Linked DNA regions of Caenorhabditis elegans. The protein of the gene in region 1 interacts with the protein of each later gene in a pairwise test. Each region holds a gene or a part of one and is shown in the gene's direction. Other genes may lie near its edges. The genes, in order: rpi-1, metl-13 and pho-7.

Evidence for each region.
Region 2: the proteins of rpi-1 (region 1) and metl-13 interact in a two-hybrid assay, tested with the Caenorhabditis elegans proteins (one large-scale study listed by BioGRID).
Region 3: the proteins of rpi-1 (region 1) and pho-7 interact in a two-hybrid assay, tested with the Caenorhabditis elegans proteins (one large-scale study listed by BioGRID).

What each region holds. Positions count from the first base shown.
Region 1 is NC_003280.10:13,955,767-13,966,054, reverse strand, and holds rpi-1 (Protein rpi-1), read left to right. Parts: upstream 1-3,635; 5' UTR 3,636-3,674; coding exon 3,675-3,827; intron 3,828-3,877; coding exon 3,878-4,024; intron 4,025-4,073; coding exon 4,074-4,825; intron 4,826-4,925; coding exon 4,926-5,171; intron 5,172-6,761; coding exon 6,762-6,816; 3' UTR 6,817-6,932; downstream 6,933-10,288. Other genes in the region: W07G1.7 (uncharacterized protein), read left to right, coding at 288-396, 445-543, 1,048-1,164; Transcription factor zip-3, read left to right, coding at 10,091-10,181.
Region 2 is NC_003282.8:6,631,267-6,641,196, forward strand, and holds metl-13 (Methyltransferase domain-containing protein), read left to right. Parts: upstream 1-3,822; 5' UTR 3,823-3,825; coding exon 3,826-3,911; intron 3,912-4,149; coding exon 4,150-4,375; intron 4,376-4,449; coding exon 4,450-4,661; intron 4,662-4,706; coding exon 4,707-4,818; intron 4,819-4,870; coding exon 4,871-4,989; intron 4,990-5,035; coding exon 5,036-5,173; intron 5,174-5,221; coding exon 5,222-5,408; intron 5,409-5,452; coding exon 5,453-5,624; intron 5,625-5,883; coding exon 5,884-6,071; intron 6,072-6,118; coding exon 6,119-6,263; intron 6,264-6,317; coding exon 6,318-6,562; intron 6,563-6,612; coding exon 6,613-6,753; 3' UTR 6,754-6,889; downstream 6,890-9,930. Other genes in the region: cest-5.1 (Carboxylesterase type B domain-containing protein), read right to left, coding at 1-49, 99-205, 263-473; C01B10.9 (Bis(5'-adenosyl)-triphosphatase), read left to right, coding at 990-1,115, 1,165-1,334, 1,385-1,573, 1,632-1,915, 1,973-2,252, 2,584-2,704, 2,751-2,912, 2,980-3,252 and 1 more; C01B10.7 (TransThyretin-Related family domain), read left to right, coding at 7,313-7,405, 7,650-7,796, 7,852-7,998; kola-3 (EGF-like domain-containing protein), read left to right, coding at 8,914-8,971.
Region 3 is NC_003284.9:10,935,134-10,945,307, reverse strand, and holds pho-7 (Lysosomal acid phosphatase), read left to right. Parts: upstream 1-3,952; 5' UTR 3,953-3,953; coding exon 3,954-4,124; intron 4,125-4,180; coding exon 4,181-4,267; intron 4,268-4,326; coding exon 4,327-4,482; intron 4,483-4,529; coding exon 4,530-4,618; intron 4,619-5,540; coding exon 5,541-5,631; intron 5,632-5,684; coding exon 5,685-5,818; intron 5,819-5,859; coding exon 5,860-5,947; intron 5,948-5,991; coding exon 5,992-6,102; intron 6,103-6,697; coding exon 6,698-6,841; intron 6,842-6,891; coding exon 6,892-6,966; 3' UTR 6,967-7,114; downstream 7,115-10,174.

The sequences.
Region 1 (10,288 bases):
ATTTTTCAACGAGAAAAGTCAATTTTCTAGCCCAAGATCACTTTTAGAGCAAAAATAAACTGAATTTTCGAGTTCTCCATAAGAAATTACCCCTAGAAATTAGGTTTTAACAATGTAGTGCAAAATTACGTAAGATACGATGTGCGGTACGCAAACACGGAGGGCGACTGCAGAGGGGTGGGGGGTGATGTACCCTGAGGTGCCGGAAAGTTCTGAAAATTGGGGGATATGTGTAATTTTTTGCGGAGAATTTGAATTTGTAAATGGGGTTTTTCAAAAATTTCCAGCAAACTGGTCTCCCTGGACGCAACCATGGCCGACGGAAATCAAGCCCACATTCGAAATGTGCATTTTTCATGCGTTCCTATCGTGGCGAAGGCGATCAAAATGTGCAGTGTAATAGCAAAATTTCCAGAAAAATCGGAAAAAAATCTGGATTTCCAGAAAACATGCACGACGCAGATCTACAAAAACGAAAAATCAAGCAAGTCGATTGATCGAAGTGTTGGGTCCTTGAAACGAGTTTTGGTCAAAGAGATTGGGGTAATATAGGCTTAACATTAAGAAAATTGTGCTTAATATTTATGGTGGGCGGCATACGATTTTGTCCGGCAAAACGGCAAATTGCCGGAACTGAAAATTTTTGGCAAATGGGCAAATTGCCGGAATTTAAAATTCTGGCAATTCGGCAAACCGGCAAAGTGCCGAAAATGAACATTTCTAGCAAATCGGCAAACCGGCAATCTGCCGGAACTTAAAATTTCTGGCAAATCGGCAATTTGCCAAAAATGAAAATTTCTGGCAAATTGGCAAACCGGCAAATTGTCGAAATTGAAAATTTCCGGCAACTTGCCGATTTGTCAAACGGCAATTGCCGCCAACCCCTGATGTGCATGATAATTTTAAGAAATTGCAGTTAATTTATTATTTTGAAGAACAGAATTTGGGAAACAAATTTTGAATTTTTAATTCAAAAAAATTGAATATTGCAATATATTGGAACTATTAATCAAACTCTAATTATTGGAAATTTAAAAAAAATTCCAGGATTTTTCTTTCGAGAAAGCCGAGGAGAAAACGTGCTGCTGTAAGGATGCAAAATGTGCCCGACGAATGGATGCCACGATGCGTCTGAATCTCCGTTCCAACTATAAAATACATTAATTTTCCGAAAATCAATCTAATAAATCATTTTTCAAAATCGACTTACATTAGATATGCCAAAAACAAAACAAAAAAATTTTACCAAATTGTTTTTTTCAATTTAAAATTTCTCATCCCTTTCTAAAATTACAAATTTCCTCCCAAACCACCTACTAAATCACTTCAAAAAGTGTTTCAATTGGTTTTGTTTCCCACCAAACATCTGCGTCTCCCTCTCCCGCACACACTCTCCCACCGGCTCCGGAGCCAGCTCTTGCGCGTGCGGTTACCATGGAGATGCCCATATCAAAAGCGATAACGCTTTTTGTGTTTATGTGAATGTGTATGTGTGTGCACCACCACTTCGGAGCACACGTTTTGCTCTTTTTCTATTCGAAAACGTATAGCTCATTATCTGGAGCTCTCTTCGTTTTTAATCTCGTGACACTGAAGCTAATTATGAGTTTTATGAAATGATGATGATGATGACTAGACGAGAATGTACTTTTTGATCTGATATGTATACTTTTTGAACTTTCATAGTTTGTAGTTTGTAGGTTGTAGTATGCTCCTAAAATACCTGCCTACCTCGTGCCTATCTGCTATAGGTCTGTAGGTGTCGTCACATTACCTACCTGGCCACTAAAAGGCCAAAAAAAAACTTTAAAAAGCACAGTCCAAAATTTCCTTATTTCATAAAGTAGTTTGTAGATTATAGTTTGTAGTTTGTAGTTTGTAATTTGTAATTTGTAGATTGTAGTTTGTAGGTTGTAGTCTATAACAGTCCTAGTTTTTTCCTAGTATTAGAGGCTAAAAGTCTAGTGTATAATAGTGTACAACATGAATCGTCATGAATGCCATTTTACCTTAAAGCAGTTTATAGTTGTAGTTGGTAGTTTGTGATTTGTAGTTTGTAGTTTGTAGTTTGTAGTTTGTAGTTTGTAATTTGTAATTTGTAGATTGTAGTTTGTAGGTTGTAGTCTATAACAGTCCTAGTTTTTTCCTAGTATTAGAGGCTAAAAGTCTAGTGTATAATAGTGTACAACATGAATCGTCATGAATGCCATTTTACCTTAAAGCAGTTTATAGTTGTAGTTGGTAGTTTGTGATTTGTAGTTTGTAGTTTGTAGTTTGTAGTTTGTAGTTTGTAATTTGTAATTTGTAGATTGTAGTTTGTAGGTTGTAGTCTATAACAGTCCTAGTTTTTTCCTAGTATTAGAGGCTAAAAGTCTAGTGTATAATAGTGTACAACATGAATCGTCATGAATGCCATTTTACCTTAAAGCAGTTTATAGTTGTAGTTGGTAGTTTGTGATTTGTAGTTTGTAGTTTGTAGTTTGTAGTTTGTAGTTTGTAATTTGTAATTTGTAGATTGTAGTTTGTAGGTTGTAGTCTATAACAGTCCTAGTTTTTTCCTAGTATTAGAGGCTAAAAGTCTAGTGTATAATAGTGTACAACATGAATCGTCATGAATGCCATTTTACCTTAAAGCAGTTTATAGTTGTAGTTGGTAGTTTGTGATTTGTAGTTTGTAGTTTGTAGTTTGTAGTTTGTAGTTTGTAATTTGTAATTTGTAGATTGTAGTTTGTAAGTTGTAGTCTATAACATTCCTAGTTTTTTCCTAGTATTAGAGGCTAAAAGTCTAGTGTATAATCGTGTACAACATGAATCGTCATGAATGCCATTTTACCTTAAAGCAGTTTATAGTTGTAGTTGGTAGTTTGTGATTTGTAGTTTGTAGTTTGTAGTTTGTAGTTTGTAGTTTGTAGTTTGTAGTTTGTAATTTGTAATTTGTAGATTGTAGTTTGTAGGTTGTAGTCTATAACATTCCTAGTTTTTTCCTAGTATTAGAGGCTAAAAGTCTAGTGTATAATCGTGTACAACATGAATCGTCATGAATGCCATTTTACCTTAAAGCAGTTTATAGTTGTAGTTGGTAGTTTGTGATTTGTAGTTTGTAGTTTGTAGTTTGTAGTTTGTAGTTTGTAGTTTGTAATTTGTAATTTGTAGATTGTAGTTTGTAGGTTGTAGTCTATAACATTCCTAGTTTTTTCCTAGTATTAGAGGCTAAAAGTCTAGTGTATAATCGTGTACAACATGAATCGTCATGAATGCCATTTTACCTTAAAGCAGTTTATAGTTGTAGTTGGTAGTTTGTGATTTGTAGTTTGTAGTTTGTAGTTTGTAGTTTGTAGTTTGTAGTTTGTAGTTTTTAGTGTGTAGTTTAAGAATTTAAAATTTTAAAATTTTTTGTAGTCGCGCGTTGCACTCAACAAAAATCGGGGCTAGCACGATATGAATGACTGCCTTCTGGTGGAAGAAGTATTTAAAATATTTAAAATTCTTGGCCACCGATGTTTTTCTCGGCCACGTCGCAACTCCCGCTCTGTGACAAATTTTGAATGACGTGGCTTTTCCCAACAGCACCCCCTTATTAGATTCTGCTCAAACTTCCAAACTTTCCAAAAAAAACTTCAACAACAAACATTTCCAGGTGATTCTGATTCTGCAGTGTGTGATTTGTGTGCAGAATGCCAACTCCATCGACAAAAAAGAAGGTGAAAAAGGTGGCAGAGGATCCGTTATCTTCATCGGGAGTCTCTTCGCTATCCGGCATTTCTTCGTATAATATTCGCAAAATTTCGATTTATAAAAATGGAGATAGGTATCATAGAGGTGTTAAGGTAACGTTACACCTATGAGTTTTTTCAAAAATTTTCAAAAAGTTTTGTAGTTTGTGATAAATCCACGTGTGATAAAAGATATGGAGCCGCTGCTCAATCAGGTCAACGATAGAATCGAGCTTTCACATGGAGCCAAGAAATTGTACACTACGGATGGAAAAATTGTGAACTCGATCAAGGAGTTGGAAGATGGAAAGGTAAGGGTCGGGACATGCCTGCCTACGTGCCTATAGTAGGTGGTTTCAGATCTACGTCGCCGCGTCCGCCCAATTCATCCCAATGCGATATGGAGAGTTTGCTGAAAAAGTCTGGAAACCGCCAAGCCGAAAGCACAGCCCCATCATGAGCTCCGACCGAATAAAGACAGCAAGGACGCGGAGCCAAGATCCTAGTAAACGACGACAGCCGCAGAATTCTGGGAGCTCTGCTCCGACGGGCTCTGGTGTGCAGAGAAGTCGATCTGTGAGGACACTGGCGGAGGATCGGAAGTCTCGGAGAGACGCAAATCCAGCTCGTCCAAACGTCAATGGAGCTTCAAATGCTCCGAAGAAGTTTGATGGAGCACGACCGAAGGCTCCACCAGCAAGACAGACGATTCCAAAACCTAAGAAGATCCTTACAACGTCTACAACCAACAAAAAACCACCAACACCAAAGCGAAAAGTATCCAAAAAAGTGCTGGGCGCTGCTGCAGCGGCCGGCGTTACAGTTGTCGGAGCAGCTGCAATTGGAGCCGTGGCTGCCGCCAAGCGATCAACGCCGAAGCCTATTCCGACAGCTGTATCGGATGTTTCCACAGCTTCATCGATTCCTATACCGAATGTGACAGGTGCAGCTGAGATTCTGGAGTTCCCGGAGGAAGAAAAGAAAATCGATATGGCAACTATACATCGGACCCCAACGCCTCCAGTGGTCGCGTCGAGGCCAGCGACTGCGAAGGCTCCGGGGACACCTGCAAACAGGTCAGCGACTGCGTTGGAGGCTAAGAGTGTATCACAGTATGTTTCCTAGATGTAACCTAGCCGGAGGGTACTAGAAAACCATAGATCATGATCATGAAAAGATTATGCTTAGATCTTTAGAATTCTAAATTTCCAGACAACCAACTCCGGAGAGCTCGGAGGAAGAGGAGGATGAAGGCAATGGAGACGAGGATGACGATGAAGAAGTGGAGGATGATGAGGAGGATGCAGGATCGGATGAAGCTGAGGAAGAACCATCGGATGAGGAGGAGGAGGACGAAGAGACGGAGGAGGAGGAGGAGGAGGAGGAGGAGGAGGAAGAGGATGATGATGAGTCAAGAGTGGAGACACCTGCTTCCAGGAAGTCTTCTTCAGCTGTTTCGTGAGTTTTTTGAATGAGTTATAGGTGTAAATAGGAAGCTTTTGGCGATTGAGTATGCCACAAACTTTTATCGGAGTGCTTTACACTGCAACTTTTTCCTCACGAGGGACGAAGAAAAGTGGTTTCTAGGCCATGGCCGAGGGGCCGACAAGTTTCAGCGGCCATTTATCTTGCTTTGTTTTCCGCCTGTTTTCTTTTGTTTTTCACAGCTTTTTCCCGTTTTTTCTTATTAAAACTGATAAATAAATACTTTTTGCAGATGCTAAAACATTTTCCAAGTAAAAAAATTATGTATTCAGTGGGCAAGCAGCGGTGAAAGTGGGCATTGTAATATGATGGATTACGGGAATACAGAACCTAAACTTTTTCTGAAACATGATACATATGATGCTTAGATGCTGAAATTACCTGATTTTCATAACGAGATCGCTGAAAAAGTTTTGAGGTTTTCAAAATTCAACTTTTTGTGCGAAAATCTCGACTTTTTCACCAAAAAAGTTGAATTTTGGAAAGCTCAAAACTTTTTCAGCGGTCTCGTTATGAAAATCAGGTAGTCTCAGCATTTAAACAGCATATGTATCATGTTTCAAAAAAAGTTTAGGTTTTGTATTCCCGTAATCCATCATATTACAATGCCCACTTTCACCGCTGCTTGCCCACTGAATACATGATTTTTTTTAAATGGAAATTGTTTTAGCATCTGCAAAAAATATTTATTTATCAGTTTTATTAAGAAAAAACAAAAAAAAATCGATGAAAAACGAAAGAAAACAGGCGGAAAACAAAGCAAGGTAAACGGCCGCTGAAACTTGTCGGCCCCTCGGCCATGGCCTAGAAACCGCTTTTCCTCGTCCCTCGTGAGGAAAAAGTTGCAGTGCTTTAGAAAATTGGCACCTTACTGAAGAAACCTAGCGAATTTCTGACAGAAGTTGGGAATTTTTCTGGATGCAACACGTGATGTCAGACTGTCTCAGATCTACAAAAAATGCGGGAATTTTTTACCAGAAAAATTGTGATGTCAGCATGCTCGTAACCATGCGAAATCAGATGAGATGTCTGCGTTTCACCTCCCGCATTTTTCGAAGATCAAAGCGAAATGGGACTTTCTGAACCTAACAACTTTCTGAAGAAAGTCGGCAACTTTTTGAATACATCTAGTAACTGTCTGATAGCACGATAACAGTAGGCACCTTTCTGAAGAAATCTACCAACCCTTGTGAGAAAATGACAGTTTTTGAAGTTAGTGGACAGACGTGCATAAAATTTCACTAGCATAAACTTTCTCCAAAATGTTGTCACCTTTCTAGCGATAGTTGGTGGATTTTCCGGCCAACTTTCGGTTAGCTCAGAAAAGTACAAGAAAGCCTGGAAGTTTCAAATAGCCAAGATATGGGCGAAGTCTGTGTTCTGTAATTTTGTTTTTAATTTGATTTAGTTTTCAAAGGGTTTTCAGCTGAAAATGGGAATTCCCAGAAATGTAATATCTCGATAACTTTCCAAAATAGGCTCCGCCCATTTCTTGGCAGTTTTTTTCTAGTTGAAGAAAATCTGAAAATCTGAAAATCCTACTCTAAATAAATATAATTTCAGATTTTCCGGATCCACTGAAGAAGACCACAAGAAAGGAGATGAAGCCAAAAAATGATTGATTTCTCTGTGATTTTTTTTTCAAAATATTTTTCCCTTCAACTTATCCCTCTTCCTCGTCAACATTTTTCTGTCAAAAATCTCCTCACTTATTAATAAATGGCTAGACTTTCATCTTTCAACTTTACATGACTTTTTCGCAAAAAAATTTGGAAAGTTCATACATCATTTCAAAGTCAAAAATTTTGAAATTCTCTTATCAATTTTTTTTACAGAAAAAAGTCTTGAAAACTCACGTAACACAGTTTTGTTACGGATATTTGTTGCATAAAAAAGTAGGTAGGTACTAGGTACGTATAAGGTAGGTACGTATAAGGTAGCTACGTACTAGGTAGGTACTATGTAGGTACCAGGTAGGTACTTAGTAGGTACTAGGTACGTGCTAAGTAGCTACCAGGTAGGCACACCATAGACACTTTTTAGGTAGTAGGCAGGTACTAGCTAGGTATTAGCCAGGTACTAGGCAGGTACTAGATAGGTACTAGGTAGGTACGAGGTAGGCATTTAGTCACAATTGTTTTATTAATCCGAAAACTTTACTATTTCTGGCATTACACTTTTCACTTTTTTTGAACTTTTCAGTATCTACAACTCTCAATCAAAATTTGTTTTTTGCTCATTTTATCAGTACTTTGTTCGGGGGAACTTAACTCGGACAAGACGTCCATTGCTGACGCGTTTCTCGTGCGTACTTTGCAGACCGAAACCGGGTGGGTTGATGAGATCAGTGATAGACACCAGTTTTATCAATTCTGTCTCTTTGTTTTGTGTATTGATTTTTTTTTGAAATTTTTTTTTGAATAGAAAGTCGCAATTTTGAATTTTGCTTTAAGTTGGTATGATCTTTATGTTTTTCAAAAAGTTGTGGTGAATTTAGAAAAAAATAAATAAAGTTCCAGAAATGCGGAAAATGATGCAAAATCATCAGAACACACGATTTTATTTCTCTGCATCACTAATTCTCTTTAATGATAAAGAGATGGGAAAAAGATCAAACTATCACCACCTGTTTGTTTCCCAAAAGTCAATTTTGCAACAAAAAATAAATTTAAAATTTAAATTTTATCTGTATTGATAACAGATATGAAAAAGTTGTCAACTATCAAAACCTAGAAAATTAAATTTTTTAGGTACTAGGTAGGTACAAGGTAGGTACTTGGTAGGTACCATGTTGGCACTAAGTAGGGTCTAGGCAGGTACTAGGCAGGTGCTAGATAGGTACTAGGTAGGTATTAGGGAGGTACTAGGAAGGTACTAGGAAGGTACTAGGAAGGCACTAGGTAGGTACTAGGTATGTGGTAGGTAGGTATTAGGATAGGCACTAGGTAAGCACTAGGTAGGTCTTGAGTTGGTACTAGGTAGGTACTATTTAGCCACTAAGTTGGTACTTGGTAGGCACTAAGTAGGCACTAAGTAGGTACCAGGTAGGCACTAGGTAGGCACTTTTTTCTTGTTCCTGATCACCCAGAAGCCAATCATAATCCTATTACAGTTTGGTCACAGTTTAACAAATGATAAAAATCCTCGAGTCAACAAAAAGTGTAGTCAATCGTCTACCTTTTTTGCATTTTGTGCTCGATTTTCTTGATTTATTGATGAAACGTCAATAAATAATCCCTCCGTTATCACCACCATATTTCACTGAATTCTTGCATACCCCTTCTGTGTTAGGAGCCGCGCTGATAACGAGCTCATTGAGCCCTCCGGGGGCTTCTCACACACTCGAACTTGATTTTATTAGTTGTTTGTGCACGTTTTCATAGGTAAAATTTGAAATTCAGAGTAGCTTTTGGTGGATTTTTTAAAGCATTACCGGATGATGGGGATCTCCTGACACGGTTTGTGACAGTAGAGGTAGGTATTTTTAAGTGACAACATAAATTTTATCAGTTCTACGTGAACTTTTTGGTATTTTTATTGGTAATAGTTGGCCTGCATATATAGGTACTAGGTGGGCACTAGGTAGTCCCTAGATAGGCAGTAGGTAGATACTAAGTAGGTACTAGGTAGGTACTAGATAGGCACTTGAAAGGTACCACATAGGTAGGCGCTAGATGTGCACTAGGTAGGTACTAGGTAGATACTAGGTGGGTATATTAGATAGGCACTAGGGCGTTTTGGTACACAGTTGTAAATAGGTAGGTACTGGGTAGGCACTAGATAAGCACCAAATAGGTAAAATGTAGGTATTAGGTAGGTACTAGATAGGTACTTGGCAAGTAATATACAGGCGTTTACAGTCTTTCAAGCAGGCAGGCGTTTTTGAGACGCCTATAGGCACTGACATAGATTCGGTAAGGATTCTGTGTGACCTATTTAGACACTCACAGTACCAGCCTACCTCATAGGCCTACTTTTTGCCTGCTTGCCTACCTACCAGTATCAAAAGTTCATAGTGCAAGTGTGCTCCACCGCACCGGTGTGTGACCAAAGTGTGCTCTGAAATAGTGTCCTGTTGTTATCGGGAGAGTAGAAGAGTGAGAGCAACACAAAATGCACAGACAAGGCTCGAGAAGTACCTGTCTTCCTACAAATAATTGTTATCAGCACCGTCTCTCTTTTTCTCTCCAACCAATCAAACGGTTTCAGTTTTTTTTTCCTTTTTTTTCGGAGTTTTCCAGCCGCTTTTTATGGTAGTTTTATGATTAGATGAATTGGAATTCATTGTTTTTAATTTTATTGATTTTTTCATTTTGATAATTGTGAAAAAGTAATACGGAGTGTGTAAAAAGTTCAAAAATCCAGTTTAATGAAAAGTAGAATAAAATTTGTTTTTGAAATAGGTTGAGGGTTGTTTAAAAATGTTCAATATTTCCAAAAAGTGTCTCAAAAAGTCATACTAAATTTGTCTAAAACTTTGTAAAATGTTCTATTTTGAAAATGAGAATTTGTTGAAATATCTGTAAAGCAAATAAAAAAAACCAGAAGTGAAAATTTACAATTTTTGATTGTGTCAGCAGTTTTCAAAAGACCTATACTAAATTTTTTTTTTCATTCAATTTTGCTCCGTTAGAAACTTTTTGGTTTCAAACCATTTAGGAGCTACAGAACATTACTTTAAACTGCAAAATGGTACAAACATAAACAAAAAAAAACATAAATAAATTAAACGTTTTTTTATAAAACCAAAAACAGCAGAGATTTAAGCTATCAGATTTGAGTTTTTTTTTTGATTTTTATTTTCTAAATATTATATTTTACAGAAACTAAAAAAACTTCCGCACTGTAAATTTCCATTTTTTCCAGTGAAAAAACCTTCCCTGTCTCCAAAAATGCAGCCGTCATACGATGCGGACGACTTCATGCGGCGTGGATTTTTCGGCTCTTTTATCGGATTCCGGAAACGATCTTCCAGCAAACCAGGTGAGCTTTATGCAAAAAACGTCACTTATTCTCAAATTTTCTCACGCCATTTGATTGATTGATTGATTTTTTTTTCTGTCAAACCTAACTAATTTATCAATTTTGAA
Region 2 (9,930 bases), on another chromosome or scaffold:
TCAGTCCTCCGCCGTGAATGTACACTGCTATTGCACAATTTCTTGACTTCTGAAGAAATTTATTGGAATTTATTTATCAAATTAAAATGGTAACTTGCCAAACACTTTTTTGAAGTGAAAATATTAACATGTAGACAATCTTCATCAACCCATTTTTGAGGACTTTTTGTTTTAGAAGAATTCGACATACATGCTGGGCCATATTCTGAACTTTTAATTTAAAAATCGCTTTATATGGCTTTAATACGGTATAAGACCTCACCAATAGCACTTCTTATTCCATCCCATTTCCCGGCTGCCTCTGGTTTTTGAAATCTTAAATTTCCCACTGGAGGTTTTGCGAATGGAATTTTTTTGAACAAATGATAATCTCCTATCTCTGCACCTTCCAAATGACCAAATGAAGTGTGTATAATCAGAGAATCTGCTGCATTAATTATAAAAATTAACAGTAACAAGCGCAAAGTATTCATTTGAATGCTGTTGTTTTTAGTGAACAAGACAATCGATTATTTTTGAGTTCAATTGATAAGAGTCTGACTACGATAGTGAATCTTATTGACATATCACACAAACAATTGCTGGAATTTAAATTTCGTAGCTTAGTTGTCTCAATAATTCCGATATTATAACTCTATTTATATATGTCAATTTTTAAACGTACTTATCTTAAGATAAATCTTCAAAAAATTGCCAAACGAGTTATTTTCAGATTTGAACACGCGCGCTTTTTCTTCGGTCGGCCGTGGGTCGCGAATTGGAGAAAGTTCAGCCACGCGTTGTGTACTCCACTCGGACAACTGGAGTATTTATTTTTCTTCACATATTTTTTTTCTTTTTCTGCGGTTTCTTTCGAATGATTACAATAGTTTTTCATGGTTTAGTGAAAAAAAAATTGTTCGTGTTATCTTGCTTTAGTATCTGATTGCCATTACCAAAGAGCCACCGTTTTCAGGTTTTAGGCCTTCAAAAATCCGGATGTTTGTAAAATGTTTATAAAACGACTATTGTTTTTATTTTCCGCCATATCGGTGGTTTCTTGCCTTTCAAGACATCCGAAATTGTTGCTCATCTCATTTGACGGATTTCGATACGATTTATTAGATGAAGTATTGGTGAGATTTGCAGAAAATGCTGAATTAATACTTTTATTTTATTTTTCAGACACCGAATATTCACAAATGGGCGTCAATGTCTACATGGTTTACTTCAGGAGTGAAGTCGCAGTACGTAACGTATACTGCGCCGAACCATATGAGCATTGCCACAGGATTGTTCGAGGAAGAACATGGAATTGTCGGAAATTACTTTTTCGATGCAGATACCAAAAAAGCGTTAGTTTTTTTTTTGCTTGAAAATGTAAAAAGGACGTTCTTTTTTTCAGATTTGACTATTTCAATTCTACCGGAAAAGAAGGTGTCGTGAATGCATCACAAGAGAGTTTCTGGTACAATTCTGATCCCATCTGGCTTACGAACGAGCGATGGGAGTCTTCCAGAAGATCTGCGGCGTTTTACTGGCCAAATGGAGAATCACAGTTTCCATATATTCCCCATAAGCCTAAAATTGCAAGGTAATTTTAGAAAAGTTTATTTAACGAGAAGTAGTACTTGGACAATTCAGTTTTTCAGGCCATGGACAATTGTTGGTGATCTGAAATCATGGATGAAGGACGCTGACGACGTTATCGATGCTTTTATTCGAGAGAAGGAACCTGTTAATTTCCTCGCTTGGTATGTAGCAGAACCCGATCACACACTTCATGGAAACGGATTTCATAACAAGGAAATTGAGAAAACATTAAAGAAACTTGACGATCTATTTCTTTATTTTATCAAAAAATTCGATGATAATAATTTGGGAGCTGATGTGAATATTATCCTAACAGCTGATCATGGACATGCAGAAATTAAAGGTAATAATTTAAAATAGTTGAAATTAAAATCTTCATAATTCCTAAAACTAAATTCAGATCACAAACATGTCATGTGCGTGAAAGATTATGTATCTGGCGCTGGATTCGAAATGGGTGATCATATGATTTATCCACACTCGGATGAAATTGGAAAACAAATTTATGCAAATTTAACATCAGCAGTGAAAGAGCATGGATATGATGTGAATATTCATTGGAGAGAGGAAGTTCCAGAAAGATGGCATTATCGAAACAGTTCGCGAATTGGAAAAATCGTTTTCGAGCCGCAAATCGGTTCTTCGATTTCGTTTTCGTGTACGAAGGATCTTATGGAAAAGTATGTGGTTTACAACCGGGCTGTGCGGCAAATTTTTCTGGCAAACGTAAACAATAGTAATGCAGAAACAGGTGCATTCTATCTGAAAATAATATTTAGCTTTGTTGAATAATTGGAAAAAAAACCTTAAATATTGCCCGAATGTTGTCATTTGCAGAATAACTTTTAACGGCACTATTTGAGACCTTTGTCAAGTTTTTCAACAAAAACAAATATCATTTTTAGATGGAATGGGACATTTTTTCTTGAATTATCATATTAAAAAAAGGCAGTTTGATCCGTTTACCGGAAAAAATATTACAACGATTAGTTTATTGAAATCAACTTTCAGGCAATATGGAGAAAACGGAACATTAAAATTCAATTCATCAACTCACGGACAAGATCCTGATCGTCCAGAGATGAGAGCTTTCCTTATTATGAGAGGCCCAGCGTTTTCTGAAAATTATACGGTATAAGCTAGGCATTTTGAGAACTGTATGATAAATATTCTTTCAGATTGCCGATATTCCTTCAAATGTGGATTTGTACAATATAATGTGTCATGTGCTTGGTATCACACCAACTGAAAATAATGGAACCATGGAAATTGTGAAACGAGCTTTAAAAGAGAACAGATATTTACCAATGACACATGGTTTCGTATTTAATCAGATTACGGTAGGTTATTCCACAGAGTATTTGACTCAATTCTAAAGCTTATCAAAAGCACATAATTTTTCTTCAGGATTCATGGAGTTTTTCGCTTATTTTAATTCCTTCAATGTGTATTGTTATAATATTCTTCGCTTATGGATGTAAGAATACCGTACTCAAATCTGATCCCAATTGGGGAAGATCCGATACAGTTCAAGGATATCGGCCATTGAGTAACCGGACGAACGAAGGATTCGAATTAAATGATGATGAGGATGAGGATGAAGGAGATGGATTAAGGAATTCGATAGATTTAGAAAGAGGTGGAAGAAGGAGTCAAGCAGGAGGTGGTGCACTTGGAAGTGTGAGTTTTATATTGAAATAATCGGAAAATCAAATATCGCTCGAAATTATTTTAAAGAAAAAATAAATAAAAAATTACCCGAAATGTTCTCAAAAATGTGTAGATTTTCAGCTGAACAATGGAACGGTAGCAATGTCTGGACTACTGGATGAAATGAGCGATGATGATATTTGATCTTTTTAATATAACTTTTTGCATTCAAATTGTAAATATTTCTTGTGACCTCTTTATATATTTCCCCCATTGTGCCTTCGATTTCTCTTTAATTTCTGCAGAATATTCAAATCACAAAGCAAAATATTTATCTCTTTATTTGTCCTAGTCATCCTTTCATCTCTTTTTGATTTTTTTCCCCGGTTGTGGATTTTCAGGATTTTCAAAATCATCCAAAGACAGTTTATCAATTTTCAATGTGATATATTTTCAAAAAAGATTACTTAACTTTAATAATGAATGTTTCTCATATTTTTTACTTCTTAATTATAATTTTATTTTCTTTGGTTTTCATTTAGCCTCATGTTTTATTTCGAGTATTTAAAATGATTATTTTTCTAGTTTCTATAGTTTCAGGCCATGTCCGCTCCAAATGAGCCACAATCTTTCACGGATCCAGCGTACTGGAAGAACTTCTTTGCAAAACGAAAATCTCCATTCGAATGGTAATTAAATAATTATATTTCTTTGTTAAAATATGATGTCTTTCAAACAAAATTAAAAGAAAATTATCACATCACTATCAAGTGTTTTTCAGATTTGTCAAAGAAAAATTATCAATGTTTCGAAAAATAACTTAAAATATTGACCATTTTTCTTCTTTTTAGATAGAAATTTTTCCTCATCAACATACACAAAAATTGAATGCTTTCGATTCTCATGTAAAAATTTGAATTCTTTCAGGTACGGTGACTATAATTCTTTATCAAATGTAATTGATAAATATTTGAAACCGAAAGACACGTTCCTTCAACTTGGATGTGGTAATTCGGAATTAGCGACCCAACTCTACGATAATGGATTTCATTGCATTCACAGTATTGATGTAGAACCATCTGTTATTGCCACACAGATTCGTAAAAATAAAGAACGACTCGGAATGACTTTTGAGACTGGAGATGCTGCTAATGTGAGTTTGGAGAATGTCCCGTTGTGCACAATGAACAATTAAAAGAAAAGAAATTCGAAAATAATATGTTATAGCTATCCATGGCCGATGAAGCACATACCATTGTAATTGATAAAGGAACTCTCGACGCTCTTCTTCCACCATCAGCTTCAGAATCCGATGAAGCATTGGTTACAAAGATGTTCGAGGAAGTTCATCGTGTATTGGCTTCTGGTGGAAGATATATCATTGTCACATTGGCTCAACCACATATCACCGAGTTCTGGATTAATCACTTCTATCCATTGTAAAATATTCATTTTTCTCAAAAATCTGTAAAACGTTATTCCAGAAAGCAATATATCCTACGTGTTCAAAAAGTTGAGAACAAGGCTTCTGGATTCCCAATGCCAGTTTTCTGCTTTATTGCCACGAAAATGCGAGCACCAATGCCAAATCCATTGGTAGGTAGATAAATTGCAAATTATTTTATTTAAATAAAACCTATATTTTTAGCCTCTAGAAGTTCTTCGCTCCAGCTCCATCCGTACTGATCGTATCGATAGCACTGACGAATTGAAGGATTCTATTCGTGGAGAACAGGAGCTCTCACAATTCATCTACCTGTGCTCGAAGTAATTCATTTTAGTTTTTCCCTTGAAATTAATGAAATTAATTTAGAAAGCTGGACTCTGAAGTTTCAATCGACTTTCATGGAGCAGATCCATCATTAGGACCACGTTATCGTATCTGTGTTGTTGATAATCCAGAAGCCAAGAAGATTGACACATTCGCCGCATTTGTGGTTCCAATTGGACGGTTTGTATAGAAAACATTTTTAAATTCGAATTCTTATATTAATTTCAGTGATTCTGAATGGCTATTCGCCTCACCAAAGGGACGAAAAGCTCTTCGTGTTCAATGTGGCCGCGAACGTCTCGCAATCGTTTTCCTCAACAGAAATCAAAAATATGAAAAAGGAATGGACGGTGTGAAGAGTGATATTGGACATTTTGTTGGAATGCTGGATGTTAGACAAGATAATACTGGAAATGTATGTAGAATTGAACACGAAACATATGAAAACCCGATTTTCAGTACGAAATTCTATCCATCGGAGGAGTCGATGTTAAGCGAACCGTTTCAACGGGACGTTCGGATATCAATGGTGGTTGGAGTGTTGAAGAAGTTACTGTTGAAGGAAATCAAACTAGAAGACTAGTTTTTCTGAATACGATGAATCTGGTACAATCTGAAGCTTATCTGAAAAGTTAGTAGTTGAAAATTTCATTTTTCAACCCCCTTTAAAGAGTAAAATGGATTTATTACAACTGAAAAATCAATGAAAACTGAGCAGCAACGAGATTTGAAAATTGCAGTATTGTTTAAAGGCGCACATCCTTCTGTATTATTTTCGGTGGAAAAAGAATAACATTTCCCATCTTGTTAATACACGAGAGGTAGTTTATCAGAATTAAAAAAGAACGGTTTAATGATGCTCACCTCAAAATTTAAAATTAACATTACAGCCGGAAAGAAGAAGCAAACGGTCATAGATCTCGATCAATTGGCATGCGATTTCCATAGAATGATGATCGGATCCCTAGCCATCAGTCCGCAACAACCATTAGCCAAGAATGATGCTCAGTGTAAGATGGCTGTTCTTGGATTAGGTGGTGGACTTTTGACTGCATATCTTGTCAGACATTTCAAAAAGGTATCAATCAAGTCTAGAAACTTAACAGTGCTAAATTTTCGTTTCAGGCTCATGTAACCGCTGTGGAACTTGATCCAGAAGTACTCAAAATCGCAAATTCTCACTTCTCGTTCCCCCATTCGGACGCTAGAATTGACGTTGTCATCCAAGATGCTCTTATTCATCTCCAGGAGACTGCAAAGAAACCTGAAGGTATTTAAAATATCATGTTCAAATTTTATTTTACAAATCAATTCTTATTTCCAGAAGAGAAATACGATGTGATTTTTGTGGATGTTTCTGGAAGTCAGAACGCTGCTCTTCAATGCCCACCATCCGCCTTCCTTACCCCAGAAGCTCTAGGAAATATGAAAAACTCGGTGAAAGAACAAGGAATGATTAGTTTGAATTTGGTTACACGCGATTCGGAATTCGGAAAGTCGATTAAAAAGAATATCGCAGAGTATTTCCCAACTCTCTACACAGTTCTGTCCTTCGAAGATGTTAATGAGGTAAACTAAATTAATTATTGAAATTCTACTAGCAAATATATTTCTTTCAGATTATCATCGGTCTCAAAACACCCAAGAACACAATAAAACCAGTGGTTCCTCAGAAATTAATCAACACAGTTCGCAAAGATATTGGAAGCTATGATGAGGTTGTCGGTGCTATCTCAAACATTCGTATGGTTGATTATTAATTGCACAATTTCGTTTGTTATCTTGTTTATTTTCAGTAATTTTTTATTATATGTATTCGATTGTTCCCAGTTATTCAAATTTTCCCCCGTTTGTTGTTTCGTTTGTTCACCTGATGAATTTTGTTTTACACTTTGCAAACATGTCTAATGTTCTCACGGTGCAGTGAAAAACAACTTTGCAGGAAAAACAACTATTAACAGCATATTCGATATCTCGACGCGATCCTACTGTACTTCCGATGTAGACTATTTGGAATTCCACTAGGAAGTTGTGCAAATTATCTGTATTTGATTATGCGGCCAAAACTATTCTATAATAACTTTGGAACTAAAAAATATTTTCCGTCACAAAATATGAAACTTTTAATTTTTGATCGTCAGTTTTTCTACAAAATAGTATTCATTTTGGTAGTGATCTGTACTGCAGAAATAGATTAATCTCTAAAAAAGTTCAGACAACGAGTAATTTCTATCAAACTGTGTTTTTTAATCTTTTAATTTTTATTTCCGCCTCTCACCGTGCGGTTATAAAATTCATAAGTTCACTTGTGCGGCCATCATGGTTCAAGTTAGTACTGTACTTTCTCTATTTCTATTGCTAATATGTCTAGTTGATTCCAGTTCTGAACCAAAACGTACAATGATAAGAAAGGTAACTAGGGAAATTAAAGCCTTCCAATTAGGCCCAAAAATGCCGGCCTACTTCGTACCTACCTCAATACAATGAACCGTTTTTTTCTAAACTTTCACTAGTTGAACTTTAATTTAATTAAAACAAACTACTTTATTTACATCGCCTTCTAATTAGATGCCTGCTTTTATATACAGCCAGACAATAAGAACCTACGATTGAAGTTTCACAGAATTTAAACTGCTCGAAGCTATTTTCTTTTCAGCCAGGAGCTCGTCTTGCAATAGAATACTACAAACCAAAAAGTATCACACGTTATGTGAAAAATGCAAAAGGAGTAGCTCAAGAGCACATTTTCAGGGTGTGCAATGGGAAAAACAAGACGAAATGTGGATATTGGGAGAATGTGAAGGTTAGTGATATTTACTCATATATAATATGAACTCAAATAAAAAGTCTAATTTCAGACAAAGAAAAAAGTGGGACCAAAAACGACATATGACAAAAAGAAGGATATGTTAATTATTGCAAAAGTGTCAAAACTCGATGCAGGAACCTACATTACACCCTCATATGATACTGTTACTGTTATTATTCAAGATGATAAATTTTAAAATTTGAGTGTAATAAAGTGCTAGTAGGTCCAAAGTGAAGAGATTTCAAAAAAAAGTTCATGCTATTAAACAAATATTAAAGTTATTGATGATCATCCGGACTTCTATACATTAAGATTTTCTTTAAATGTTGTATAAATTTATAAACTCACTGAAACGGTATTTTTTTCTTTGAAAAAAATAATTTCAAGAATTGCGTAAGTTCCTGCACTAAACAACATCAGCCACCAATTTTTGTTTTTTAATAGTTTCCTATAATACTGTGTTAACAAACGTTGTTTATTTATCTGAATTTATAAACTCACTGAAACCGTAATTTTATTTTCAAAAGAAGAAATTAAAAACTTGTGTTGATTTTTTTTGATAGAAGATTTTGGAAACCAAACTAACAATTTTTGGAATATACTAAAATATTTTCTTTCTGGTGATATTTTAAAAACGACCATATAAAAGTCGTTTCTCCAGAATATTCAAGAATTGAGCCGATTTTCAGTAAAACGATAAAAATAAAAATGCGAAGGTTATCGATTTTAAAAAGATTTGTTTTTTATCCTTCAAAATCGGATATATTTTAATTTTAAACAAAATCGCTTCCCACTTGCTCTCGCCCTGTACCATTTCGGTGTCGCCAGAATAATGTCAAATTCAAAAGTTAAAATTACAGTTAAAACACTATACAATTGTTCCATTTTCATTACTTCCCTCAACAGCAGCGGGACGGTAGTGTTTAAGAGTGTTGGACTTAAAGGTGGAGTTATAGAGTCGCTTCTATTCATTCTTATCATCAAAGTAATAAATCAAATTGTGATAACAGACGAGAGAAACTGAAAAAGGGAGTCACCTACCATTTTCAGCTCCTCTTTATTTGATTTATTGCCTGCTGTAAAATTTTTTTTCTCATAATTTGGATTTCAGATGAAACTTCTCACAGCGGTATTGCTACTGCTGGTAGCTGTCAGTTCAAAGGCACAGGGTAAGTTTTCCAAAAGTAGTCCTTTCTAATTTTAAGAAGTCGACGTAATTTTTCCTTAAATAAAATACCTAGACAACTAAATGAAAAAGAATTAAAAACCATATTGTAACCTTACATCATAATGTTTGGAGTACCGCGAAGTATATCGTGCACAAAAATTTCAATACTGTGTGTGGCGTCACAATTGCTGAAAACGAGGTCGTATTGTTTTCATTTCAAGAAGGATGCTAGAATATAGCTATTTTCGGTTTCAAAATAATTATACTCAGAAAATATTCAATTGCTCTAGTTCAATTTATCCATTCATCATTAAATTATCTGCAATGTGAAACGGGAAAATTTTTTGGTATCACATTAAGAGTAAATAAATTTTAACCAATTCAAAGGGCGTCACCCTGTCGGTGCTCGCTTTACCCATCCGGTGGCTCGTTTCCTGCAATAAATCATTTCGATCACCACTGATTGGTAGCTGATGTAGAGAGAAATTTAACTGATAATGAGCTGATTGAATCGAAAAGTTTACATTCTTTTCTTTTTCCGATGAGTTTTGTATCATGGTTGGCGGAAAATAGAATGCAGAATGATGTCATAGGAATTGTATTTTTGAAAGAATCTAGGATTTTAAAACACAAAAATAAATAATGAAATTGAAGTACAGTCAAAGCAACACAACTGCTGCCCTATTTGGACTGGCTTTGAATAATATATTTATATACTGTATTCTGATAATTTTCTTAACTTTAGCAATTTTTTTGAATTTTCTAGAATTGCGGCTGCTTGAGACTTCTATATATATTTGACAATAATTTTTAAAAGGAAATTTCAAAGATTTAAAAAAATACTTTTCGGTAAACCTTGTTTCAAAATTTTATTGGAAAAGTATGGAAAAGTTCGGAATAACACGGAACACTCAAATATGTCCAAACAAGAGAATAATTAAAAAAAAAATAACTCAAGCA
Region 3 (10,174 bases), on another chromosome or scaffold:
CCATTATGCAAATGCCTTTCAACGATAGGTTAAATTAAAGTTTGTTTTATCTTTGAAATTTATGTTTTAATAGCATTCACTGCCATAATTTGCATTTTCAATGTGGTTTAAATTTTTATTCTTAAATTCTACAATAAAGTTGTTTCACAGCCCATTGAATATAACATCAAAACATACAAGCCAGTTAACATTCAAACAAGCTTTCAATCAAAGTGTTGTACAGTTTCAGAAAACCACTCCTTAACACGAATTTTCATTAAAGTATATTGGTATTTATTAACCAAGTTTGCTGATTTATAGGTAAAACTAAAAATAGAATCAGATGCAGGTATACAATTATCAGTTGTTTAGACTGTCAGCAGAAGATAACATGGGATCAATGCTATTTTTAATTGTTATGTAGTATATGCACCCCTCCATTATCTAAATTATCTCCCCCTTCTAGGAGATTCATACAACTCATTGATTAAACATGATAGAACATATGTACTCGTTGTACTACAAGGGTGCAATACCCAATATTTCTTGTTGCCATCGTCAAAATCCTTCAAGAACAAAATCCTTTTCCTCGACATCTTCATTTGTGGCACATCTTACTTTCCATGTAGATCTTGAAGGATGTGTCAGAGTTTCCGATTCCTATAATAGTTTCTTTACTAAATGTTCCATATTTTCTTGCCCTATCTGAATTCAAAACAAGTTTCTCTTCGGCAATTAAAAAATTGTAATTTAAATTTTTTTTTTTCGTCACCTTTACTAGTGATTATTTTGATTTTTCCACCAGATTATTCTCTTAATGTGATGTTATAACATATTTTTCTACTCTCCTCTCGTGAAAGATTGACCAAGATCTCTTATGTACCCAATGTATTTGAAAAACGCCTATAAATAAATATGCATACATTGCAAACCGTTTGTTGTGGATTTTGGAGGGATGAATTATTTTTTGAACGTTGTTCTTCCGTTTAGCCCGTTTTCTTACAGGTAGTCACAAGTTACTCGCACAATATGGACCACCTCGTTGTATTATCGATTATTGGCCTCGGCGCGTCTATAGATTCGGTACGTACTGAAACAGTTTCAATATGCATAAAGAACATAAACAGTGTTACAAGTTAAAAAATATATAAATGATAAATTCTATTTTCAAACGGGTTTTTTCAGAAACGTGAGAAGAAAAATATTAGCGTTGGAAAAAAGATCGCATTCATAAAGCTTGGTTATTTTTGTACATACAGATATTTATTTTTATATTTTCAGACATCATCGTTATTGTCCTGAGGACAGGTTAAGATCTTAAACGTGATTCCCAAAGTAATATTTATTAAATAATAATAGCAAATACAAGTTGGTTGAATGATTGACTGAATGATTGAGGGGTGCTGCAAGAGGCCAAGAAATAGTCTTATATACGGAAGAGTTGATCGAATTATGTAAATGATGGGGCGACGGCGGTCATGAAATGGAAACCGCGGGAATAATACCGCGGGAATCATAAAACGGGGAAATCAAAGAGCGAGCGATTTGACATCGTTTTTGTAATATTGACTTTGGTTAATCAAATTATTTTTCCTTCCAGGCTTCCATTAATACATCATACCAGAGAGTTTGAATAATTACTTTTGAACTAATCGCTTTCCTGTTATTAGTACTTTTCTGGCCGAACAGCAAATGAACGCGTTTTTGTGAAGACGTTCGACTTCTAATATTACTCTCAAGTGTAATTTTTCAAGGAAATGTTTTTATGCTTTTTGCTCGTATCTTGACCATTCCTAGATTAGATATCCATTTTATAACTGAACTATTCGTCAATAATGTGTCATGATGGAAATTTTGCAACATAGTAAAATCACAAATAAGCCGTTCTAATCCATTGATGAATCATTGTTCAGTACCTAACCTATTTATAAATATATATCAAGAACACCTACACATTCGTATTTTCTGAAGCATAACCAAAATACGAAAAACTGTTACTACATATTCTCATCACTTTATCACTTTTTTTTTTAACAATGTATCAATCGTCTCTAACCTAACTATCTTTGATCTTTGTATCTGTACTTCTTAGGGTCCGACACCTTTTTGCAGACACTAATATAGAACTCATTTTTTACCGCGCACTTCATCTTTTCCGCATTTTATCAACTTTCAAGAAAAACCGTCAACGATTCTGCCGCGATAATCGGTTTTTGAATCTCTGGGAACATGCGATAAGTTATATTTCTTTCCTTTTCATTTTGAATGTGTTTGCTAAAACGTTGAAGAATTTTTATAATTTTATTTAAAAATAGCTTTTGAATTAAATATTTCAAATATTTTAATACATCAAAAAAGGTTTATTGAACTGTACAACAATGCAATATATTTTGTCAACAGATTCAATTACAAACCCTTGCAGAAATGCTGATCCATATTTGAGTTTTTGTTCGTAGCTTAACAAAATATTCCCAAAATTTATCCTCCAATCTAAAACACCGAAAGTAAAAGTTGTCCGTTTGGTTCAAGGGTGAGCCTACAAAGCCTCCTGCGAACAAGAGATTTATGAGGGTTACTGATGGCATTTATATCTTTTCTAGTCTTAATTTAAGCCGTATCGGGACTAGTGGTATGGCCCATTTACCTTTCGTGGACCAAATTCACCACCAATTTCCAAGCAATTTTCCAAGTGAGGGGGGCTTGAACTTGAGACCTCTTGGGTGACAGTACTACACCACTAACACTTAGCCACCCGTGTCCCGTATAAATACACATTTACTTTAAATTACGGTTATTTCTAACAATTAGAAAGAAACACAAATATGTATGTATACATCTAAAAAAAAACCATTAAATTCATGAAATCAGACAAAGCAATTTGTAAAAATATTAGGATCATTAATTTGTAAATTAGAGAGTGAATGTGAAGATGAATCGTTGGGATCAGCAACAACAGGTGATGCATTTGTCCCATTTTTTTCATCGACTAGTTTATTTGAATGACATGTTCAATCAAGTTATTTGGCTCTCAATAAAATTGCTCTTTTGTCTTTCTTTTTTCTTCATGCTCAATCTTCTCATAACCTTTGAGACGAAATGAAAAATACTTGGAGACCAAACCGAAAAAAAATGATGGAAGACATGGCTTATCATTTTTCCCCACTTCTCTCCCAATTTTTCTCAAAAGCCTGTCGCCGAGTCACAACAATGAAGTTTAACAACATCACGTTGGATGATGAGATGTTACTACACAAACACACTTTCAATATATTTGCTTGTTTCTACAAAATTGTTTTTGCTTTTTCATAGCCACATTTCGTGCTTGATCGCATTTCTGTTTGGGGGATTTGTTGAGTTTTTCGGTAGTATATTGAGAAATTGATAGGATTAAAAGATGTTCCAAGGGATGAGACATAGCTTATCGGAATTTCCTTATTAACAGGTTAGATTTTTGATTTCTCAAGTTTGTCAGTTATTAGTATGTCATTGATGAAGCTAGTATTTGTTAAGTGTTGAATTTATGATCGTTGCTCAATTGTAACGCATTTCCTTTTTAACTTCTCAAACAGGAATTTTAATTCAGTCTACTCTAATTCAGTACTTAGGTATTTTGTTAATTGTAAAAATTTTGTTTTTACAGAATTTAGAAAAATATAGGAAAACAATACAAAGTACGAAAAAGGCAATTCGCCAAAAAATTTCAGTTCAAAAATATATGTATGAAAAAAATAATTGTTTAGTATGAATTTACGATTTTTTTTTCTTTCCCTGTCTTTAGCCTATGATTTATAGTCTTAGTATTACAGTTTCTATCACACGTAAACAGTACAAAAATTCAATTGAAATTGTTTTGAATTTAACAATTACGTTTTTACAACTTTTGAAAATGTTTTAACTTGATTCTCTGTCATTCTCATGTGATTGTTTAAAAAAGTGTTCCTTCAAATTTAAAAAAAAACCATAATCATTTCAGAATGAAACATTTTTACTTATTTTGTTGTTCTCTACTGTTACCCTGTGCGGCTGAAATTGAGTTTCTACTAGCCGTTTGGAGACACGGAGATCGAGCACCGGAGAACCTACCATATCCAAGCGACCCTCACAACGAGACATTCTGGCCCCGCGGATGGAACCAACTGACAAATGTTGGTTTTTGGAATCTAAAAAAAATACACGCCACTCGTTTCTGTTTCACTTGCAGGTTGGCATCGACCAAGCAACAAAACTCGGAAAATTTCTACGACGACGCTATCAAGGGTCAGTACTTCCCGTGTTTGACCGAAAAAAGGTGAGAAAAATAAATGTTTATTTTGCAGCGATGCATAGAACCACTTGATTTTATTTAAGATAAGTATTCGCTCATCTGACGCGGATCGTGCGATTGAAACTGCCCAGTCAGTGGCGACTGCCTTATTTCCACCAGATGGATTGCAAGTTTGGAACGAAGAAAAATTTAGATTTTGGCAACCAATTCCCATAAGAACAAATGGAAAGCCTGATCCTGTATGATATCAAGTCAGGAAAAATTTGTGAATTAAAAAAAATTACAGATGTTACGTCCCAGCAAAATTCAATGTCCTGCATATCAGAGAATAGTTGCAGAAGAAAGAAAGAAAATCGAATCAGAAATCAATGTAAAGTAAGTTTCCTAACGTTTTGAGAATTTTTATCCATTTCTGTTGCCAATAGTAAGAGTCCGGGGGGTTTTTAGTTTTTGAAATTTTAGTAAGTGGTATACACTATTTCTTCTATTAGTTAGGCACCTCTATTAGTTTTGCACCTCCATTAGTTTTGAATCTAAAATCACTAATCGAAAATTAGTTTTGCACACTCTATTAGTTTTGCACCTTTAATAGTTTTGCTCCCCTTCATTTGTTCCCTATTTTTAGGAATTCAAAATTTGCATTATAAAATCGTTCTAAAAGTTAGGAAAACTTTTACAGACTTGGTATAACAAGTCAAAATAGGCAAAATATGAGTACAACTCGGACAATTTTTGCTTGCATGCCTTACTAATAGAGGAAATACGGTAGTTTAAAAAAAACATGCCTTTTTTTCTATATTGATGAAGTTTTCACATTTTACAAATTTAACTTTGAATTTAAGATTTGCAGACCAAAAATAATATCAATTGTAGTTTTTTATTACTACCAATTTCGAAAAATAGCAATTTAGTTTTAATTTCCCATAGTGAAAATTGTAAGCTTTTTTCAATTTCTTGACGTGTTTGAACTATTTTTCGTGATTTTTTTTTCAATGTTGAGTGTGAAAGTAGTAAAAAATATTGTGAATTCTCGACTAAAAAGCTAAAAAGCTTTGTAAATCCTTCACTCCAGAATATCATCGTCGCTTAAAGGTGACATATCACTTGAACTGTGTTTTTTTGTCAATTTTTTTAACCAAGTTATTTTCAATTAGGTTTTTTAGTATACTCGAAAACTCATTTATACTTTCTTGTTTAATCTCACTAATATATACAAAAAATCTACAAATGATAGTCAACTTTTACCAAACAAAAGACCGATTGCTGCATAAGAGCTTCTATATATTAGTATTTTCAGATACAAGAGGGAACTTGAAATTATTTCAAATCACACTTCTCATCAAACAAAATACGGAAATATCAAAGATGTTTACAATGTCATACTGGAAGTTAGTCGTATTACGCTATTTCGAGAAGATCGTTTACAGTATGATAATTGCAGCACTACAATGGGCTTCCTTTTCCTAACTGGATAGATGAAAAAGTAAATGGAAAGAGCCTTCTCGATACCATTGCAGAAATAAGAAGAATCGCGAGATTACAGTTGTTTAATAGCAGAGCAAAAGCAAAGTTCATGTAAGTATTTTTGTATAAAACAGTATGAATTTTTGATTTAGGGCGGGCTACCTCATCAACAGTTGGACTGAAAGCTTGGTGTTAGCTTCGCAACATATCAGCCCAAAAAAAGCGTTACTATATTCGTCGGTAATAAACAACTGTAATTGTTAATTTTATAATTTGAAATTCAGCACGACGGAACATTATCTGCTCTCATGTATGGATTGGGAATCAGTAATCATCAATTGATTCCATATACTGCTTGTATTATGATTGAGTTGCACACAGGAAATAATGTAAAGGTTTGTAAAGTAAATTGATCATGTATCCAAAAAAGTATTTAGTATATAGAGACCAAAAGGACACCTTAAAGTTTTTTTTTAGAAAATTCGTAAACTACATATTTCTCTGAAATCATTAAAAATGTGGGAACGTATTGCTAAAATTGCTCGCAGGTAATTCAAAAGTTCCAGGGTTTCTAAACCTTAGAATTCGTTTTGAAGAAGAGCGCATGGTAATTTTTTAAACACCTTTCGAAAATTACTTTATATCAAAAAATTAAAAAAAATTTTATCCAAAAGTGATTAAAAATGGTTTTCAAAATGGTATTTTTCAAAAGTAATATTTTTCCAAGCCAGAAAAATCTACAAAATATTCACTTATTAATTCTTAAAATGTTGAATATATTATTAATTTTTTCGTCAACTTGCTTTTACCAAAAGTTAATTATGGAGTACATTCTCCACACGCAAAGAAAGAGTAATTTACTATTCAAATAATGAAAAATAGTTCTCGTTTTAAATATTCAAAAGGGAAAATGAAGATTATACTATGTTCCAATTATTCTGGCTGCAATAAATAATTACACAATTCAAACTCAGAATCATTTAATTTTAGATATACTTTCGCAACACGACAACAGAAAACCCAGATGACGTGCACGAAATGTTTGTTCCAGGATGTTCGACTGATTGTCATCTTTCCAAATTCATCAAATCGGTGAATGGTGTACGAGTCAAGAGTCTTGAGCATTTGGAAGATGTAAGACAACCGGGTGGTCAGTGTCCGTTGGAAATATATTGAATTTGTAGATATGCGAATCAGCCTTCTCCCGTCAGTCAACCTTGATTTTTGCCATCATTTTCGTCATGCTTTTGATTTTGTGATTTATCGCTGTACATATACATTCCAATTGCTCGAAAAATTGGTTTTAGCTGATAACATTCGAGATTATTTTTCAACTTATTTTTTCCTGCCAGTATTTTATTTTTTGTTTGACTGTTTTTCAAATTTTGGATAAATTCTTTTTTGAAAAAAAAACTTCTAAGCTATAAAACCGTATAAAAAAAATCTTGTGAGAAATTTATTTTGCAGAACATATTTTTTATAAGCTTTGAAAATAATGATTGTTTCAAGACTTACGATACATTTCACTTTCAAACTCTTTTATAAGTCTTTGATTAGTATTAGTTCATGTAAGTTCCACATTAATCTTACATATTTTTTGCGTAGTTTTAATAGTAACTGGTATCCCTGGTAACTACTTTTTGTAACTTTCATTCATTATGTAATTGATCTTGTACCAATGCCCACTTTCGCGCTCTATGGAATATCTAATTCTTTGTCCACTAATCGGATTGTTCAAGTTGCGATTGTTAAACGAGCGGTACACTTTACACAGTCCGTGCAAAAATTACGCAGTCAAAAAGCGTGATGGTGGTAGAAAAAGAAAGAAGAAAACGAATTGAAATGAGGAGCGAATGATGGCGAATATCGGCGGTGAGAAGAGGGCCCGCTGCTCTCTCCCGGATATATTTTGTGCCCAGCGCTATCTCCCAACTGATGTCTTACGACAGAAGTTTTGCCCGCAAGCACGCTCTCCCGTTGGAATCTTTGTTTTCTCTGCGTTCACATGTATTTTAACACCCCCCGATCTTCTGCAACTAAACTATGCACATTACCACCATGTTTTGTACAAGTCTAAATGTACTTCTGGTCCCCAGCCACTTTATTATGGTTATGACAAATACTTCTTCTGCTTTCCCCTTCTTTTTATATTCATGGACATTGGGCGAACGCTTATCCGCTAATTGGCCAACCATCCCCGTTTTGGAAGAACTCATCCACTTGAATGTACTTACATGTTGTTGCTTCTATTTCTTCTTGATTCGTTTTCAATACCACCTCTGTTTCATTAAATTTGTGGTTTTCCACATTACATATCTTTAAAAATGTAATATTAGGTATATTCTCACTACTTGTTACCAAACAATCGTAATCCAAATATCTTAAGGATTCGGTCTGTCGATTACTCTCATGTAATTTATCTGGTCAAAATGATCCTCTATGGAAAAATTGTATTTTTTTTTAATTGTCTTCGATTTGCTTTTGGATTACACTATACTTGGTGTTTCACCTGTAAGTGTGCTGTTAGAGTTTTTTAGTATTAGATCTTGTTGGAGTCGGAGAGAAATTTGCTGAACTGAATGTTTTTTGTAAAACAGAACTTTGATTATAACTTAATTTGAATGCCCACTTAACTTAGCTGTACAATGATGTTTTGCCCAGTATTTTAGCATATTTCTTCTTTTCGTAGGCTGTTTTTTTTGCCCTACCGTTTTCTGCCAATTGCCAAATATTGAGCAAAAATAACTGAGATTACTGTAATTTTGAAAATTTAAAAGTTCTACTGAAGGATGGAGATGAATGCAACCATGTTTATTGTATAACATCTGGCACACAAATAACTACTATTTGTTTTAATCGATAATTATTGTGAAGTAATATGAAGGAATGTATCTCGGATCACAATTTGATTTCCAATTTGAAAAAAAAGTTTGATCGAGCTGAGTGAAAAAAGTTTCAGATAGAACATTTGAAGCATTTTCACCAGGCTCTAAATTAGTTTAAAAATGCAATGAAACCAGTTATATCTAATATTATAATTACTTTTTTGTGATGAAAACTCAGTTCATTTTTTTGCTCGAAATTAAAAAAAGTCGCAAAATTTTTGAAAAGTTTTGTTAGGATATGGGATAATTTTAGTATCATAGGAACAGTTTTTCTCCACTGGCCGTACTTCACTTTTCAGTAATGGGGAAGAAAGAGCAAAACAGAGTTTATTCAGTATAGTTTTTTCAGAAGATGATTATGAAAATATTGTCAATTTGAGCACATCTTGGCTCCTTTGTTCTCGTTGCTGCTCGTTTCTTTTTTGTTCCTTCATGGCCTCTGGTTACATTTGAGACGTCAATTTTCTCATTCAGTTGCATTGGACATACACCTTCTCCATGGGTGGCCATTTCTCATTTCACAATTTTTCTCCTTCTTTCTCCCTATTCTCTTTCAAAACACCGTTCAATTTTCTCCGTTGTGTCGGTTGCACTTTGCATTTATTACCCGATTAGGCTTGCCACACACACACACACAAGCACATACATTTTCAAAACTCGAAACAATGTTTTCTTGTTTTATGATTCAGCACACACCGAGTCTTTCTCCAGTAATTGCCAGCATCACCCTTTCGGAGTATTATTGTGGTCTCAGTTTCGGCTCGTTTCGTAATTTAGAAAGAACACCATAAATTGAGGGTGGGATGTGGCTATTCCAGCTTTTACGAGATGAATAGACCTCGCTCAAAGCCTCTGGTTCTACCGAATTCCATTTCAGAAACTCATTATGGCACCGCTAATTCTAAGCAATTTTGTTGTTAAATATCGGGTGTAAAACGAATTGTTTATTCTGATGAGAATACATTTTGAAATCCCAATTCTGTTTTTTTTTTCAATTTGTTGCTGAAATTAAGAAAAAATCATGTTACTTGTGTATTGTACATAGACGCTTACTTTGAAAATAAATAAAAAACAGCGAATGAAATATGAAATAATTGTGATAATGAAATTTTTTTCAACGAGGAATAAGAATGTTTCTACTTCCAGAGCCAATTCAGATTTGGTTTACTTGAGTTTTGAATTTGAATGCTGTCGGATTTCTTCACGAGAATAAAATTTTAGTAAGATACATTTAAAGTTTTTTTTTTCTTTTCATAAAACTTAAATTTTTAAAAATGTACCCCTCACAAAAAAAAACAAAATCCTCGTTCGAAATTTTTTACTAAGAGCCATTACTTTGTTTCTATTTTCCTTTGTGAAAAGCCGCTGTAAATTTAGCGCATCTTTCTAATTAAAACATATATTATTTGTTTCAAATAACCGCGACACACGTTTTTGCGTTCACTGAACCACACCGAACATGCTTTCCGGGTGCTCATCCGCAACCTAAACAACATTATGCTCTCCGCTTCCCCCTCCAATAAGGTCCACTTTTCTCCGACAAGCCATCTACCCCAAACATCGGGCTAATCCACGTTTTATT